Linked DNA regions of Macaca fascicularis. The protein of the gene in region 3 interacts with the protein of the main gene of each other region in a biochemical or structural test. Links are inferred from orthologs where the notes say so. Each region holds a gene or a part of one and is shown on either strand. Other genes may lie near its edges. The genes, in order: GLE1, NUP98 and NUP155.

What was found.
Region 1: the proteins of NUP155 (region 3) and GLE1 form a complex in vitro, tested with the Homo sapiens proteins (2 studies listed by BioGRID). The link is inferred for Macaca fascicularis from reciprocal best matches to the Homo sapiens genes NUP155 and GLE1.
Region 2: the proteins of NUP155 (region 3) and NUP98 form a complex in vitro, tested with the Homo sapiens proteins (2 studies listed by BioGRID). The link is inferred for Macaca fascicularis from reciprocal best matches to the Homo sapiens genes NUP155 and NUP98.

Annotation. Positions count from the first base shown.
Region 1 is NC_088389.1:15,462,989-15,468,764, forward strand, and holds the start of GLE1 (mRNA export factor GLE1), read right to left. Parts: upstream 3,824-5,776; 5' UTR 3,749-3,823; coding exon 3,650-3,748; intron 3,026-3,649; exon of another isoform or gene 2,783-3,025; intron 1-2,782. UniProt on the Homo sapiens protein: Required for the export of mRNAs containing poly(A) tails from the nucleus into the cytoplasm. May be involved in the terminal step of the mRNA transport through the nuclear pore complex (NPC).
Region 2 is NC_088388.1:70,595,481-70,600,571, reverse strand, and holds the end of NUP98 (nuclear pore complex protein Nup98-Nup96), read right to left. Parts: intron 3,443-5,091; coding exon 3,331-3,442; intron 3,204-3,330; coding exon 2,986-3,203; 3' UTR 1,840-2,985; downstream 1-1,839. UniProt on the Homo sapiens protein: Plays a role in the nuclear pore complex (NPC) assembly and/or maintenance. NUP98 and NUP96 are involved in the bidirectional transport across the NPC. May anchor NUP153 and TPR to the NPC.
Region 3 is NC_088380.1:37,611,624-37,616,859, reverse strand, and holds the end of NUP155 (nuclear pore complex protein Nup155), read left to right. Parts: intron 1-1,443; coding exon 1,444-1,580; intron 1,581-2,587; coding exon 2,588-2,694; intron 2,695-3,264; coding exon 3,265-3,403; 3' UTR 3,404-3,465; downstream 3,466-5,236.

The DNA.
Region 1 (5,776 bases), on a different chromosome or scaffold from region 3:
CTCCTGTTGCTCAGGCTGGAGTGCAATGGCACGATCGTGGCTCACCGCAACCTCCGCCTCCCCTGCCTCCCAGGTTCAAGTGATTCTCCTGCCTCAGCCTCCCGAGTAGCTGGGATTACAGACACACGCCACCATGCCTGGCTAATTTTGTACTTTTAGAAGATACAGGGTTTTTCCATGTTGGTCAGGCTGGTCTCGAACTCTTGACCTCAGGAAATCCGCCTGCCTCGGCCTCCCAAAGTACTGGGATTACAGGCGTGAGCCACCCTGCGCCCAGCCATTTTTTTTTTTTTTTTTTTTTTTGAGATGGAGTCTTGCTCTTTCACCCAGGCTGGAGTGCAGTGGCACGATCTCAGCTCATTGCCACCTCCACTGCCCAGGTTCAAGCAATTCTCCTGTTTCAGCCTCCCGAGCAGTTGGGATTACTAGCACCCATCACCACACCCAGCTAATTTTTGTATTATTACAAAAATTAGAGACGGGGTTTCATCACATTGGCCAGGCTGGTCTCGAACTCCTGACCTCAGGTGATCCGCCCACCTCAGCCTCCCAAAGTGCTGGGATTACAGGCGTGAGCTACCACGCCCAGCCATTCTTTTTTCTTTTTTTTTTTTTTTTTTTTTTGAGACAGGGTCTCATTCTGTTTCCCAGGCTGGAGTGCAGTGGCACGATCACAGATCATGCAGCCTCAAATTTCATGCTCAGGTAATACTCCCACCTCAGCCTCTCAAGGAGCAGGGACTATAGGCACCCACCACCACACCTGGTTTTTTTTTTTTTTTTGAGATGGAGTTTCGCTCTTGTTGCCCAGGCTGGAGTGCAACGGTGCAATCTCGGCTCATCGCAACCTCCGCCTCCCAGGTTCAAGCGATTCTCCTATCTCAGCCTCCCAAGTAGCTGGGATTACAGGCATGCGCTACCATGCCCAGCTAACTTTGTATTTTTAGTAGAGACGGGGTTTCTCCATGTTGGTCAGGCTGGTCTCCAACTCCTGACCTCAGGTGATCCGCCCTCCTCGGCCTCCCAAAGTGCTGGGATTACAGGCATGAGCCACCACACCCGGCACACCTGGTTAATTTTTTTGTATTTTTTGTAGTGGTGAGGTTTCTCCACGTTGCCCAGGCTGGTCTCGAACTTCTGGGCTCAAGTGATCTGCCCACCTTGGCTTACCAAAGTGCTGGGACTGCAGGTTTGAGACACCAAGCCTGGCCCAGCTTGAACTGGCCTCAAGTAATCGTCCCGCCTCAGCCTCCCAAAGTGTTGGGATTATGGGCATGAGTCACCACACCCAGCCTAATAATTTTTTTAAAAATGGAAATAGATATGGATATGTGTGTATACATCCTTAGTAGTAATAATGATCATATCTAGTACCAGATCTTGGTTTGTAAATATAATTTTAAATCAAAGGAAACCAGGGGTCTCTGCAGAAAAGGTAAGTTCCAGAGTTGGAGGTAGAAAAATATAAGATGAGCCTGGAACATCTTTGTATGAGAAAATAAGTACTGATTACGTATGATATAATAAATAAATGAAAAAACCAGAGTAGTTGGGAGATTGCTACAACGAGCTAAAGTAAACTGATTGAGCAAATAAGTAAACATATTGAGAATAACAGAAGCCAAACTTCTCACTGCTAGGTAACATATTTACAAAGATGGATGGGGTAAGATTAGATAGAAAGAAATGTGAAGTGCTGGGTTGGAAATGGCATTTATCAGTATGAAGTCATGGTTTTATAATATATATGTACACACAAATAGTTATAGATAATACATAAATGTGTATGTGGTGATATGTGTACATATTTAGAGATGTATTATTTCCTAGCTCTATCTACTGAGAAGGCCTAGAAGCAATGGTACCCAATCAAGAATCTCAACATACTAAACTCCCAGAACTTGGTCTGTAAATACAGCACCACCCTCCACTTCAAAAGAATCAGCCTCTTTGGAGAAATAGCTGATTCCAGGGTTGAGACAGGGAAACTTGCACCTGGGACACCTTTTTGTGCCAAAAAGTAAAGAAATGTCAATGAAAGATGGAAACATGTCAAAGGAACACAGGAGCCAACTTAATGAGTCGCCCAGTAGCCAAATCTGGGACATTTTTCTTTTTAATTCTTATGAATACATAATCGTTGTACATATTTACAACGTTACTTTTTTTTTTTGAGACACAGTCTCACTCTGTTGCCCAGGCTTGAGTGCAGCAGCACAATCTCGGCTCACTGCAATCTCTGCCTCCCGGGTTCAAGCAATTCTCATGCCTCAGTCTCTGGAGTAGCTGGGATTACAGGCATGCACCACCATGCTCGGCTAATTTTTTTATTTTCAGTAGAGATGGGGTTTCACCATGTTGGCTAGGCTGGTCTCGAACTCTTGACCTCAAGTGATCCATCCCCCTCGGCCTCCCAAAGTGCTAGGATTACGGGCCTGAGCCACCACGCCCAGCCTTGCCTGTGATATTTTGATACAAGCTTACAAAATCTGGGATATTTAAAATAAAATAAATAATAAAAGTAATGGATTACAACTCACTGAATAAAACAGAAATCCATGAGTCCATACCAATATAACTAAACAACAGAGAAAAGAAAGCATCTCCTGACGGTGGAACGCCAACTAACAAATGCAGAAGGAGTAGTGGATATAAAGAAACAGGATCTGGCAACGTCATAGAGGTGATCGATTCATGTGGAAAACATCAATGAATGCTAAAGCCATGGAGGATGAAGGTTTGCCCAGAAAAATGATACTGGTGTAATCTCCACAATACTTACCAACAATTACTAAGGGAAAAATGACGAATTTAAACGGAAAGACCAGGCAGATAACAACGTAACCAGGTGATCAAGATTAGCATCACCAGTGTTGGGATGGGTTGACATCTGTGTGCCTCCTGAGAAAGCCATGGCATCATTTCTGTAGTATTCCTGCCAAGACTGCTTAACCTTGGTCTGGTGGTTTGAAAGCACCTATGCTGGCAGTCAACCTACAGAATGTAAGATCTGTATTTTTCAAAACTGTCAACAACATAAAAGACAGGAGAATATTTTAGGATTGTTTCCCAAGAAGTCTGAGGATGCAGAACAACGTCTTATCTGTAGCTAACTAGCAGCGACTCGGGAATGGGAGCTCTGCCTTAACTCTCCGCATCCCTCCACTTCTAGTGTAGAGCTTTGCAAATACTAGGTACAGTGACCACGCCCCCATTCACTTTCCAGGTCTGCCAAATCAATCTAGAAATTTGGTTATTTCACTGGCAGCAACGGATTAGGTCGTGTCAATCGTTCGTCGCAAAATCTAGAGCTCCCAGCACATGAGACACGCAGTAAGTTAACTGAGCCTGGGCCAAGATTGCTTTGACAACAGCAGAGCGGAGAAGGCGCCCAACTGGCGGAGGGTAGCAATGAAGCCTTCAGAGCGCGGGGCACCTGTGAAGTCAGGGGAGCTCCCCGAAACGCTAAAATAGGCTGGAGAGGACAGAAACCCCAGGACAGAAGGATGTACACACAGAAGTCAAGAAATAAATGCAGGTTGTTAGGCTGCACGGGTTCCCGGAAGCAGAACATGCCAAGGGCTAGGGAGGAGAAGGGTTCGGTCGCGAGCGGCCGGAAGGGCCTACGTCCTCCGAGGCCACCGCTCACCTCGCCCCGCAGCAGCCAGTCGCGGTAGTAGCAAAGGCGACCTTTGTCGGAACTGCGTAGAGCCTGCAAGGTCTCCCAGCAGCGACCCTCAGACGGCATGGTAGGATCCGGGGCAGCTTCTCTGAGGCGCCGCTTCTGACCAAACAAGCCCTCGAATCAGCCGCCGGGAAGGCCGCTCAGGCTTCCGCTTCCGGGGCGCAAGTGCAACACAGCCCCGCCCCTAACGGCTGCGTGCCCCGCCTCCGGCAACGCTCCCGCCCTCCCGCCAGTGCGCCTGCGCGCAGGAATTGCCTGTGACTGCAAGTTCTGCGGAGGTAAGCACCAGCTCCCAATCCCCGGGGCTGCAGAAAATTGGTATGTGCCTTGAGAATGTGCAGAAACTGGAATCCTCTTACACTGGTCATGGGAATGTAAAATGAAGCACCTGCTGTGGAAGACAGTCTGGCAGTTCCTCAAAAGGTTAAACAATTACCATTTGACCCAGCAATTCTCCTAGGTAAATATATGTATAAAAAAATACACCAAAGAAATGAAACCTATGCATATACAAAAACTTGTCCATGAATGTTCACAAGCAGTGTTATTCATAATAGCCAAAAAGTGAAAGCAACCCAAATGTCCATCCATTGGTGAATGGATAAATAAAATACAGTACTATGTGTGCAGTTCCCGAGTTCCCCGCTTTCTGTGCACTGACCAAGTATCAGAGTGCCTTGATCGCCCTGTGACCCAGCCAGTTGCAAGTTTTTTCCTGCAGACTTGCAACCAAATACGGGCCTTGCATATCCCCAGGCACTAATAAGGATATCTAAGTTGTTGCCCAAAACGCTGAAACTGACCCGCCTTTAGCCAAATTCCATAAACCCTCATATAAACTCCACACCCTGACCCCTCGCTGGGGATGTACCGAGGTGAAACACCTCTTCTCTCTCGCTATCCGTCGCAAGAATTGCTGCAGCCCACTCTGTAAGTTTCCCTAATAAATGTTTTGGGTTTAGTGCTCCTTTTTTGAGACAGAGTCTTGCTTTGTCCCCCAGGCTGGAGTAGTGGCTCCATCTCGGCTCACTGCAAGCTTCGCCTCCTGGGTTCAAGCGATTCTCCTGCCTCAGCTTCCCGTGTAGCTGGGACTACAGGCGCCTGCCACCACGCCCAGCTAATTTTTGTATTTTTAGCAGAGATGGGGTTTCACCACGTTGGTCAGGCTGGTGTCAAACTCCTGACCTCAGCTGATCCACCCACCTCGACCTCCCAAAGCACCGGGATTACAGGCATGAGCCACTGCGCCAGGCCATAGTGCTTCTTTGGAGTCCCAACCAGCCCTGTTTGGCAGGAGGAAACACTATCTACATAATGGAATGTTATTTGGCCATAAAAATAAAGTACTGATGGTACACTGAAACATCAATCTTGAAAGCATTATGCTGAGATGAGCCAGTCATGAATGGTCACGTTAGACAATTCCATTTATGTGAAATGTCCAGAAGAGACAAATCTATAGAGCCAGAGAAGCTTTATGACTAGTTGCCAGGGGCTGCGGGAGGGGAATGGGGACTGACTGCTAATGGGTATGGGGTTTCTTTTTGGGAGTGATGAAATTGGTTGGCTGGGCGCGGTGGCTCACAACTGTAATCCCAGCACTTTGGAAGGCCCAGGCAGGCGGATCACCTGAGGTCATGAGTTTGAGACGAGCCTGGGCAACATGGCAAAACCCTGTCTCTACAAAAAATACAAAAATTAGCCGGGCACAGTGCCATGCACCTATAGTCCCAGAGGCTGATGCAGGAGGATCCCTTGAACCTGGGAGGCAGAGGCTGCAGTGAGCCGAGATGGTGCCACTGCACTGCAGCCTGGGTGACGGAGTGAGACTCCATTTCGAAAAAAGAAAAAACTAGGTCTAGAATTAGATAATGGTGATGGCTGCACAACTTGGTGAATATACCACAAACCACTGAATTATATATACACTTTATCTTTTCGAGACAGAATCTCGCCACGTTGCCCAGGCAAGAGTGCAGTGGCATGATCTTGGATCACTGCAACCTCCACTTCCTGGGTTCAAGTGATTCTCCTGCTTCAGCCTCTCAAGTAGCTGGGACTACAGGCGTCCACCACCACTCCCGGCTAGTT
Region 2 (5,091 bases), on a different chromosome or scaffold from region 3:
AAAACTTTTTTTTACTATTTCAACGGGATTTGGGGATGTAGAAGATTAAGATTGTTAGGCCAGGCACGGTGGCTCAAGCCTGTAATCCCAGCACTTTGGGAGGCCGAGATGGGCGGATCACGAGGTCAGGAGATCGAGACCATCCTGGCTAACCCGGTGAAACCCCGTCTCTACTAAAAAATACAAAAAACTAGCCGGGCGAGGTGGCGGGCGCCTGTAGTCCCAGTTACTCGGGAGGCTGAGGCAGGAGAATGGCGTGAACCCGGGAGGCGGAGCTTGCAGTGAGCTGAGATCCAGCCACTGCACTCCAGCCTGGGCGACAGAGCGAGACTCCGTCTCAAAAAAAAAAAAAAAAAAAAAAAAAAAAAAAAGATTAAGATTGTTCAGGCCGGGTGCAGTGGCTCACGTCTGTAATCCCAGCACTTTGGGAGGCCGAGGTGGACGGATCACGAGGTCAGGAGATCGAGATCATCCTGGCTAACATAGAGAAACCCCGTCTCTACTAAAAATACAAAAAAAAAAAAAAAAAAAAAAAATTAGCCGGGCGTGGTGGCGGGCACCTGTGGTCCTCGCTACTCGGGAGGCTGAGGCAGGAGAATGGCGTGAACCCGGGAGGTGGAGCTTGCAGTGAGCCAAGATTGCGACACTGCACTCCAGCCTGGAGGACAGATCGAGACTCCGTCTCAAAAAAAAAAAAAAAAAAGGAGATTGTTCATTGTTCATCACCCTTATCTTGAACTGGAAGTTGATATTCTCTTTTATGCAACATGGCTTCTATGATAAACCTTTGATTTAGAACCTTTTTTTCTTGCTCTGTTGCCCAGGCTGGAGTGCAGTGGCACAATCATGGCTCGCTGCAGCCTTCAACTCCTGGGCTCATGCGATCCTCTTGCCATAGCCTCTTGAGTAGCTGGGACTATGCACACACACCACCATGCCCAACTATTTTAGAGAGAGTCTTGTCATGTTACCTGGTGTGGTCTTGAACTCCTGGCCTCAAGCAATCCTCCCACCTTGGTCTCCCAAAGTGGATTACAGGTGTCAGCGAACACTCCTGGCCCACAATTCCTAACACTGCTAAGAGCTAACCATTTCTACAGCATAATCACTTTTTGAAACATTCCTCTGGTAAGGAAACCAGGTCGGAAAGTCCAACTAAGTTCTGTGACCCACTCAGGATCACATATTGAGTCAGTAGTGGAGGGGATTCCAGCTGAGTAACCCTTCTTCTGAGGTGTCTAAGTTAAATGGAAGTTTCAGCCACAGAGCTGACCCACTATGCTTTCTCATCCCTGAATTCCTCAAAGTCTCAGAAGTCTTTGTTCTAATCTTAATGGGTATTTGCTCATATCTTCAGCTTGACAAATCAAAATAAGATCTGGAATAGTACTCATGCTACTCAATTGATTCCTCTTGAAAACAGCCCTGTGTGAAGTAACATCAGGGATCATTATCCCCTTTACAAAAGGGAATCCGACTTAGAAAGGTGAAGCGTCACTCAAGGTTTAAAAACAAAACCACTACAGTAGAAGAGCGAGGAGGCTTTGAATGGTATATTCTATTGGGCAATTTGAGACCTGGAAATCTATATGTATAAATATATGTACAGCAATCAGTATTAATCAATAATCAACTCCCTTGCCCCTAAATCTCCCCTTATAAATCTAGCCTTTGGGCTAATCTATCTCTCAGTTTAGCACCAAATAGTTCTCTCTTTAACCCAAGGCCTGTCTCCATTTAGAAGGCAAATTCAAAAACAGGCTAAATCAAACAAGGCCATCATAAAGATCCTCAGGGCAAGAAGGCTCAAAAATACAAAGGGAAAGCCAATACCAGGAATGCTATAAACATTTTATTTATTTATTTTTTAAGAAAGTAACTTCAGAAAAAGAGGAAAATATCTAGATCATTTATTTATACATATATATATTTTTTAATAAAAACCTTTACATAATCTTCATGCATAAAGACCCAGGTGTGGCCATATTGCCTGAGACAGCCCTAACACCAGCTATCTCATGCCATTACCTGGGGCTCCCTATAGCTGTCAGCAGTGTAGCAAAGGCCCTCTGCCTGCCCCTAACGCCCAACTCCATGCCTGCCTCAGTCATGGTTTGCTTCTGGAAGGGATGATGGAGGGTGGAAAATGCTTTAGAGCTAACATGGGATGAACAGGGAGGGTTACCCAACCTGCCATTTTTAATCCAAACTCTTCAGGCAAATCCAGACAGACTCTCAGCAAGATGACTGAAAACCAGGGACCAAACCAAATTCTGGGAGCTTCCCATAGACATGTCACATATGACCAAGGGCTCCTGCACATAGTAGTAGCAAAGGTATGGTGTTCATGGAACACTAAAGGCAGGAACAAAAGAAGCTCTGAAGATCAATCCCTCCATGGCAGGCATTCACTTCTGCCCTAAGTGTGTCAGAAAGATCCCATTCTGTTTCCTAACTCAGGCCAACCCTCCTCTGCCTCCAAAATTCAGTGTTAACTAACCAATTACTTAAGAGACGGATCCCTCTTCCTTCTGTGGATAGTTCACCTGTTAAGGATCCATTACTACCTGTCTCACTCCTCCTAAGGAGTCCTAGCATAAAAGGGCCAGGGTAGGAGTAGGGTAGCTGGTTGGCATGGAGGGTCACAAGATCCAGAATGGCTAGGGGTGAAAAAGGATTCCCTGGTTCTTTGGGGGATTCTGCCAAAGGAGCTTTATTGACCATTTATTAAAAGGAAAAACACTGGTCTTGAGGATGGTAAAAAGAGAATTGTCTCCTCTTCTGGGTTCCAGAAGCCCTTATGCTATGTTTAGTATTAAGAAAAGCCCTGAACAACTGGAGGATGCTGCTTGTGGCAGCAGGGAAGGAGGGCAGATGCCATAGCCAACCCAGAGAATGGCAAACAGTGCCAATCCAAACAAGGCAGGGAACCTCTGTGTGGTGAGTGTGAACGGGCATGTGAGTGTGATGCAAAGAGTCTGGGGCTCACAGGCTCCCAACAGCGAGTTCTCGCAGATAGGACTGGGTAAGGCTGCGCAGTTCGTCCATGGCATAGTCCTCAGGCATGGGGAGCCGGCCAATGTGGGGAGCCAAGAGGCGCAAAGGGACTCGCTGAGGGTCTGGTGTTGAGTCGGAGGTTCTATCAGGAGCATGATGCAGACTCAGCACCACCCGCAGCAGGTTGGCTACACGTTTGGCCATGTCTAGAGAGAAAAACTAGAGTTAAGCACTGAGCATGGGTCTAGAGAACGGTGGCAGGCACTGAGGGTGGGGTGTAAGATAAAAACAGGAAGCAAGAAGGCAGAAAAAGTGAGGAGATTAGAGGCTTACCTGACTGAGCTAGGCGATCTTTAGCATTGTAACACTGAATCTGCTCTATGCGACTGCACAGTGAAGTCACTTTGATGTGTAACTGCTCCAGGTCATAACCTGAGCAATCCACCTACAAAGAAGCAGAGAAGTCAATTAATCCAAGGGGAGTTCCTATCACTCAACACCACCTATAGACTCTATACAAAACCTTGAAACAACAGTGAGGTGAGGGAGGGGAAAATCCAAGAAGATGACACAGGGTCAAGCCACCACCATCTAGTGGAGGACAAGGCACTAATTATGCAGTAATAAAGAGGAAGGTAACATAGTGTACACAGCCTTGGACTAGGAAAGTCTTGAGATCCCGAACGATACAGCAAGCTTTAATAATACAGCAAGCTTTAATAATACAGCACCAAAAATCAAGATAAACTGGGTTCAGAGAGATGGTATGACTTCTTAAGAGCACACAGGAAGTAAAAAATGCAGCCTGAACCAACATTTAATTTAGGTCCCCTGACTCCAAGTTTATAGCCTTTTCTTTTTTTTTTTTTTTTTTTGAGACGGAGTCTCGCTCTGTCACCCAGGCTGGAGTGCAGTGGCGGGATCTCAGCTCACTGCAAGCTCTGCCTCCCGGGTTCACGCCATTCTCCTGCCTCAGCCTCCCAAGTAGCTGGGACTACAGGCGCCTGCCACCTCGCCCGGCTAAGTTTTTGTATTTTTAGTAGAGACGGGGTTTCACTGTGTTAGCCAGGATGGTCTCGATCTCCTGACCTCGTGATCCGCCCGTCTCGGCCTCCCAAAGTGCTGGGATTACAGGCTTGAGCCACCGCGCCTGGCCTAGCCTTTTCTAAAACACCAAAAAAGCTGGGTGCAGGCAGCAGGAGGATCAAGAGCAAGACAAATTATTTGCTCTCATGAAACTGACAGAAACTAAATAAGAAAACATAAAACAGTAATACATCCTGAAAAATCACAAGCCATGTAGATAATTTAAACAGGTGGATGTTGCAGAGAGAAACTGGATAGCTACTTGAGACTGGAGGTCCAAGAGAGGCTTCTTCAAGGAGGTCATATTTAAGTCGAGACCTGAATTACAAGGAGAGAGCTCAGCTTTCCAGGCAAAGAGAAGACAGCTAAAACTCCCAAAGGTGAGAATTCAAAGGAGATTTACATGGTGACATGTGGGGTAAGGGGGAAAAGCAGAACAAACCAATACTAGAGAGGTTTTATGTAACACAGGCTTTTTTTTTTTTAAAGGGGGGGTCTCGCTATGTTGCTCAGGCTGGTCTCAAGCAACCCTCCTGCCTCAGCCTCCCAAAGTGCTAGGATTACAGTCACGCACCACCACATCCAGCTATGTGCTGGCACATTGATAGTTCTCTTTGCTTAACCCCTATACTTATGAAGCTACAGTAACTGCTGCTTTACTTGTATATATCTCCCCCACGAAATCATTATTTTGGTAAGGGCAGAACACATACTGTTTACTTTTATATTCCCCAAACCCACTACAGTGCTTGGCACACAGTGAGTTCTCCATAATAGTTGTGTGAATTACTCAATATTCAATGAGAAAGTGGTTTCTTCAAGTGATTATTTAGAAATGATGCTCTTGATTCATATGAAAAGTACAGCAAACATTGAATTATGCCTATTATGTGTCAGGCGCTGTACTAGGAGTTGGAACTTTGATGAGGATAATAATAGGTAACAATTATTAAGCATTTAGTAGAGGCTAAGGTCAGGAGTTTGAGACCAGACTGGCCAACATGGTGA
Region 3 (5,236 bases):
CTGGGAGGTGAAAATTGCAATGAGCTGAGAACGCACCACTGCACTCCAACCTCAGTGACACAGTGAGACCCCATTTCAATAAATAAATAACACTGTATTGTACATAGTTCTTTTTGAGGAATTTTCCTTTTAATTCAGAAGTAATCATGTGGGCTTTGCATGGTGGCTCACACCTGTAATCTCAACACTTTGGAGAGGCAAAGGCAGGATGATTGCTTGAAGCCAGGAGTTTGAGACCAGCCTGGGCATACCAAGACCCCGTCTCTACAGAAAAAATTAAGATTAGCTAGGCATGGTAACACGTGCCTATAGTCCTAGCTAATCAGGCTGAGGCAGGAGGATTTCTATGTTTATTTATATATATTTATATATATATATATATATATATATATATATTTCTTTTGATAGAGAGGGGATCTCATGATATTGCCCAAGTCAGTCTTGAATTAGCCACGCCTAGCTAATTTTTTTGTATTTTTAATAGAGACAGAGTTTCACCATGTTGGCCAGGCTGGTACTCCTGACTGAAGGTGATCTGCCCACCTTGACCTCCCAAAGTTCTGGGATTACAAGCGTGAACCACCACGCCTGGCCATAAGTATAAATTTGGTTGTTACTGTTTATGATAAGACAGGCAGTTAAAAGTAAGAATGAGGCCACAGTTAGAACTATCAAATAAATCTAGGGGTGGGGCATTAAAAAACACATTTAATATTTCTGAAATCAGGATGCAGTTTCCCTTTTCTGAAAAGCTGTTAAATTGAGGAAACATATTTTTTCTTTTTTTTTTTTTATTATACTTTAAGTTCTAGGGTACATGTGCATAACGTGCAGGTTTGTTACTTATGTATACTTGTGCGAGGAAACATATTTTTTAAAAGTACTGATACTAAAAAAAAATTATCAGCGAAGTCCTCTTCATTATTGGGATTGTGAATGGTCTCTGTTTTCTTCTTGTATCTTTCTGAATTTTCTAAGTTCTGTAATTTTAATTTTAGGACATTTTCATCATCCCAAAAATAAACTCTGTACTCATTAGTTGTCACTTCCCATTCCTTCACACCCTCCAGCCCTAGGCAGCCACTAATCTACTTTAGATTTGCCTATTCTGGTATATATCTTACTTTTATTAAAAAAAAATTTTTTTTCCTTTTAAGCTGAGAGTGATGGTGCATACTTGTAGTCCCAGCTTACTTGGGAAGGTGAGGTGGGAGGATTGAGCTCAGGAGTTCAAGGTCAAGGCTATCATACACTGTAGTTGCTCCTATGAATAGCCACTATTTCTAGTCTGGGCAACATAGCAAAAAAAAAACCCCGCCCCAAAAAATTGCAATTGGATTTCAGAAGATATCCCCCTAGAAACTACTCAGTTATGAATAAGACCTACCTTTTAGTATCAAGAGCTAAAAATCCAAATTTCCAACCTTTTTTTTTTCTTCCCAGATTTTATTGTACAGTTTTTAGAACAGCAGGTTTGTTCTTTGAACTGGGATGTGGGCTTCGTAATACAGACAATGAATGAAATTGGAGTACCATTACCTAGACTACTAGAAGTTTATGATCAGTTGTTCAAATCACGGGTAAGGAAAATATTAAATAACATAAAATTATTTTCTTTAAAGTAACTTTGTAGATATAGAGTGGGGTATTTTGATTGTATTTTTGTATCTCATCACTTAGTCTAATTACACTTGGTTGAGTCTTGGAAATTATGCTTTAGACTTTTTAAACTGATAATGAGAGTTGCTTTCCTGTATATCATGATTAAAATGAAATATTATTTCTGAATATTAATAAACATATATGCTTTACTCTTGGTGGAAGAGGCTAAACTAAGGTGTGGGCTAAACTCATTACATTAAGAATCATCATTTGCTTTAAAAGAACAAGATTACATTGTATTTATTTACTATAACCTCATCTAAAATGTCAAAAAGATCCTTCTCACCCTGCTGAGCCTTATCAGACTATATGTTTTGTAATTTTTATGCTAAGGATAAAAGATCCAAATAAAAACTTTTCAAAGTAGATTGTGTCTTTTATAGTAGCATCATACAGTGTTTACAACATTAGCCTGTGATGGAGATGAGCAGGTAACTGTAGTATCTCCATCTTATATTGCAAAAAGACAAGAGCAGAGATGTTAAATAACCTGCTCAAGTCACATAGCTAGTAACTGGTGAAGCCAGACCTAGAATTAAGTTTCTGTTACTGCTAGTTTAGTCTCTTTATTATGTCAGACTAAATCTGCATAGGTTCAAAGTGAAAGTGGTGTCACAACCCATAGAAAGAAAGATTTTTCTCTTACCTCAGATTCCTAAGCAGGACATTTACATGCTGTGCAAAGTAGATTGGTATATCAAATATTCGTCCTAAGTAATATCATAGTGTTGTTAATTAATAAGTTTTTAATGTTGTTTGAAATATTAACTATAATCAGATATATAATTTAGTAGCCATGTAATATTAAATGCTTTTTAATAGCAATAAGTTTTGCATGGACCCTGATGTCTACTTTAGTATAAATGATTTAAAGAATCAATTGACACAACTTGCCTCACATTTCATTACGTATATTTCTTCATAGGATCCATTCTGGAATAGAATGAAGAAGCCACTGCACCTTTTGGATTGTATACATGTATTATTGACAAGATATGTTGAGAATCCCAGCCAAGTTTTAAATTGTGAAAGGTACCTATGAATTAAATATTGGACTAGCAAAAGCTTTTAAATGCTTCTAATAAATACCTGGGTAAGAAATTTGAAGAGAAGATGGTAAGATATGGGAATTGTAAAGAAGTACAGGGAATTTAAACTCTTGTGTATATTAGCAATAACTGTTTGAATGATATTGATCACCATGTATGAAAAATAGGAGTTTTTTCCATTTTCAGTCCTTGTCCTAAATTCTTTCTACAGCTGAACATAAATAATTTATTCGTTTCTTCTGCTTTAGATTAGTGACCTAGGACCAAAACATTTCAATTATGTCTTTGCGATATTATTGGCCTTTTAAGGGATATTCTTTTGAAAAAGTATTAGCAGGAATCATCTCTTACTGCTTTCTTCTCATTGTAAAAATCTTCAAATGGAACCCACCTACCCACTAAGTTTTCTTTTTTACTTTATTTCTTATTCACTTAATCACATGGTCTTTCCTCTTCTGTGAGAATTAAAGTTGCCAGAAGTTGGTGGGGAAGGAGTCCTTTAGGAGGAAATATTTGTAAATGTATAATTAATCATGTGTCTTTTTCTTTATAGGAGAAGATTTACAAATCTCTGCCTGGATGCTGTTTGTGGTTACCTTGTTGAGCTCCAGTCTATGAGCTCGTCAGTAGCAGTACAAGCCATCACTGGGAATTTTAAATCTCTTCAGGCTAAATTAGAACGGCTTCATTAATTACTGTGATATACTTTCATCCATTTTGTGATCTGTAAAATAAAAACTCAGCTGGGTCCAGATATCAGGTGTTCTAAATCTAAATGTAAGAACAATCTTAATGGAAGTATGTTTTTAATAAGTGGCTAACATCTACAAATAGTACCTTTTCTAAATGAATTCTTTTTTATTACTCTTTTGTTTTTTAGTAATTGAGTGAAAAAACAACCGAAATGAGATTATTTACTATTTTAACGTAAGGATTAAAAAAATTTAGACGCTGTTATTTTGAATTGTACTGCGGGCAGAAATTTCGAATTTATATTATTCATTTTCAAGTTAGTCCAAGGATATTGGCATTAAAACTCCACTAGGCGGCTGGGCACGGTGACTTACGCCTGTAATCCCAGCACTTTGGGAGGCCAAGGTGGGTGAATCACAAGGTCAAGAGTTTGAGACCAGCCTGGCCAACATGGTGAAAGCCCATCTCTACTAAAAATGCAAAAAAATTAGCCAGGCGTGGTGGCAGGTGCCTGTAATCCCAGCTACTCGGGAGGCTGAGGCAGGCGAATCACTTGAACCCAGGAGGCGGAGGTTGCACTGAGCCGAAATCTTGCCATTGCACTCCAGCCCAGGCAACAGTGCGAGACTGTCTCAAAAAATAAAAAACCTCCAAAGAGGCTAAGCAGATCCATTGCCATAATAGTGGATTCTAAAACTGTCCTTAAATAGGCAAATAACTGACTTTTTCAAAACTTTTTTTAGGTGTTGGGTTCACCCTTGAAAGAACTGTCCTCCAACAACTAGTTTTGTCAGTTAAAGCCCTTGAGGATTGATATATATACCTGGTTGGTTGAGCAGGTGATAAAACTTGTAACTAATGTTGTGTCGTGAAAAGCTACACAGGGAGGTACTATTTTCCCTTAGTGTCTACTTGGCTCCTTGGCCTTGTGACTACTGATTCCATTAGAGTAGTGGTTCTCAAAGTATGTGCTCCAAACCAGAAGCATCAGCATCACTTAGGAATTTGTTAGAAATGCAGATTCTCGAGCCCCAACCCAGACCTACTGAATCAAAAACGTGGGGGATGAGGCTGCGCTTTCTGTGTTTTAACAAGTTCTCCAGGAGATTTTGGTGCATGTCAAATTTGAAAGCCACTGCAGTAAAGGATACTGCTGCCTTCTATAGTTTATGGATTGAACTCCCTACGTGGCTCCTCCTTCCCCATTCTCTGTGAATAACCACACACACGAGTTTTGCCCAAGGCACACTGTATATAGCAAAACTGTTAGTATTGTACTTTTAAATTATTCTTTAACAAAATAGAGTAACCAAACCAAGTGCTTCAAAGTAATAGCAACAAGAGAGAAGAGTGGGAATAACCAGAGCTAACAAAACACTCTATTCTTTTTTTTTTTTTTTTTTTTTTTTTTTGGAGATAGAATCTCACCCTGTAGCCCACCCTGGAGTGCAGTGGTGCAATCCTGGCTCACTGCAGCCTCTGCCTCCCAGGTTCAAAGCAATTCGCCTGCCTCAGCCTCCCGAGTAGCTGGGATTGCAGGCATGCACCACCACACCCAGCTAGTTTTTGTATTCTTAGTAGAGATGGGTTTCACCATGTTGGCCAGGCTGGTCTTGAACTCCTGATCTCAAGTGATCCGCCCACCTCAACCTCCCAAAGTGTTGGGATTACAGGCATAAGCCACCGTGCCTGGCCTATTCCCTTCTTGTTTTATGCTACCACAAATAATTACCTTCTGTTTATTGTAAGCGGTACATGTCTAACAATTTTTAGGATACATTTTGAATGTATTTTTCCTTCCATTTTTGTCTTTTCCCAAGACCATAGGGTTG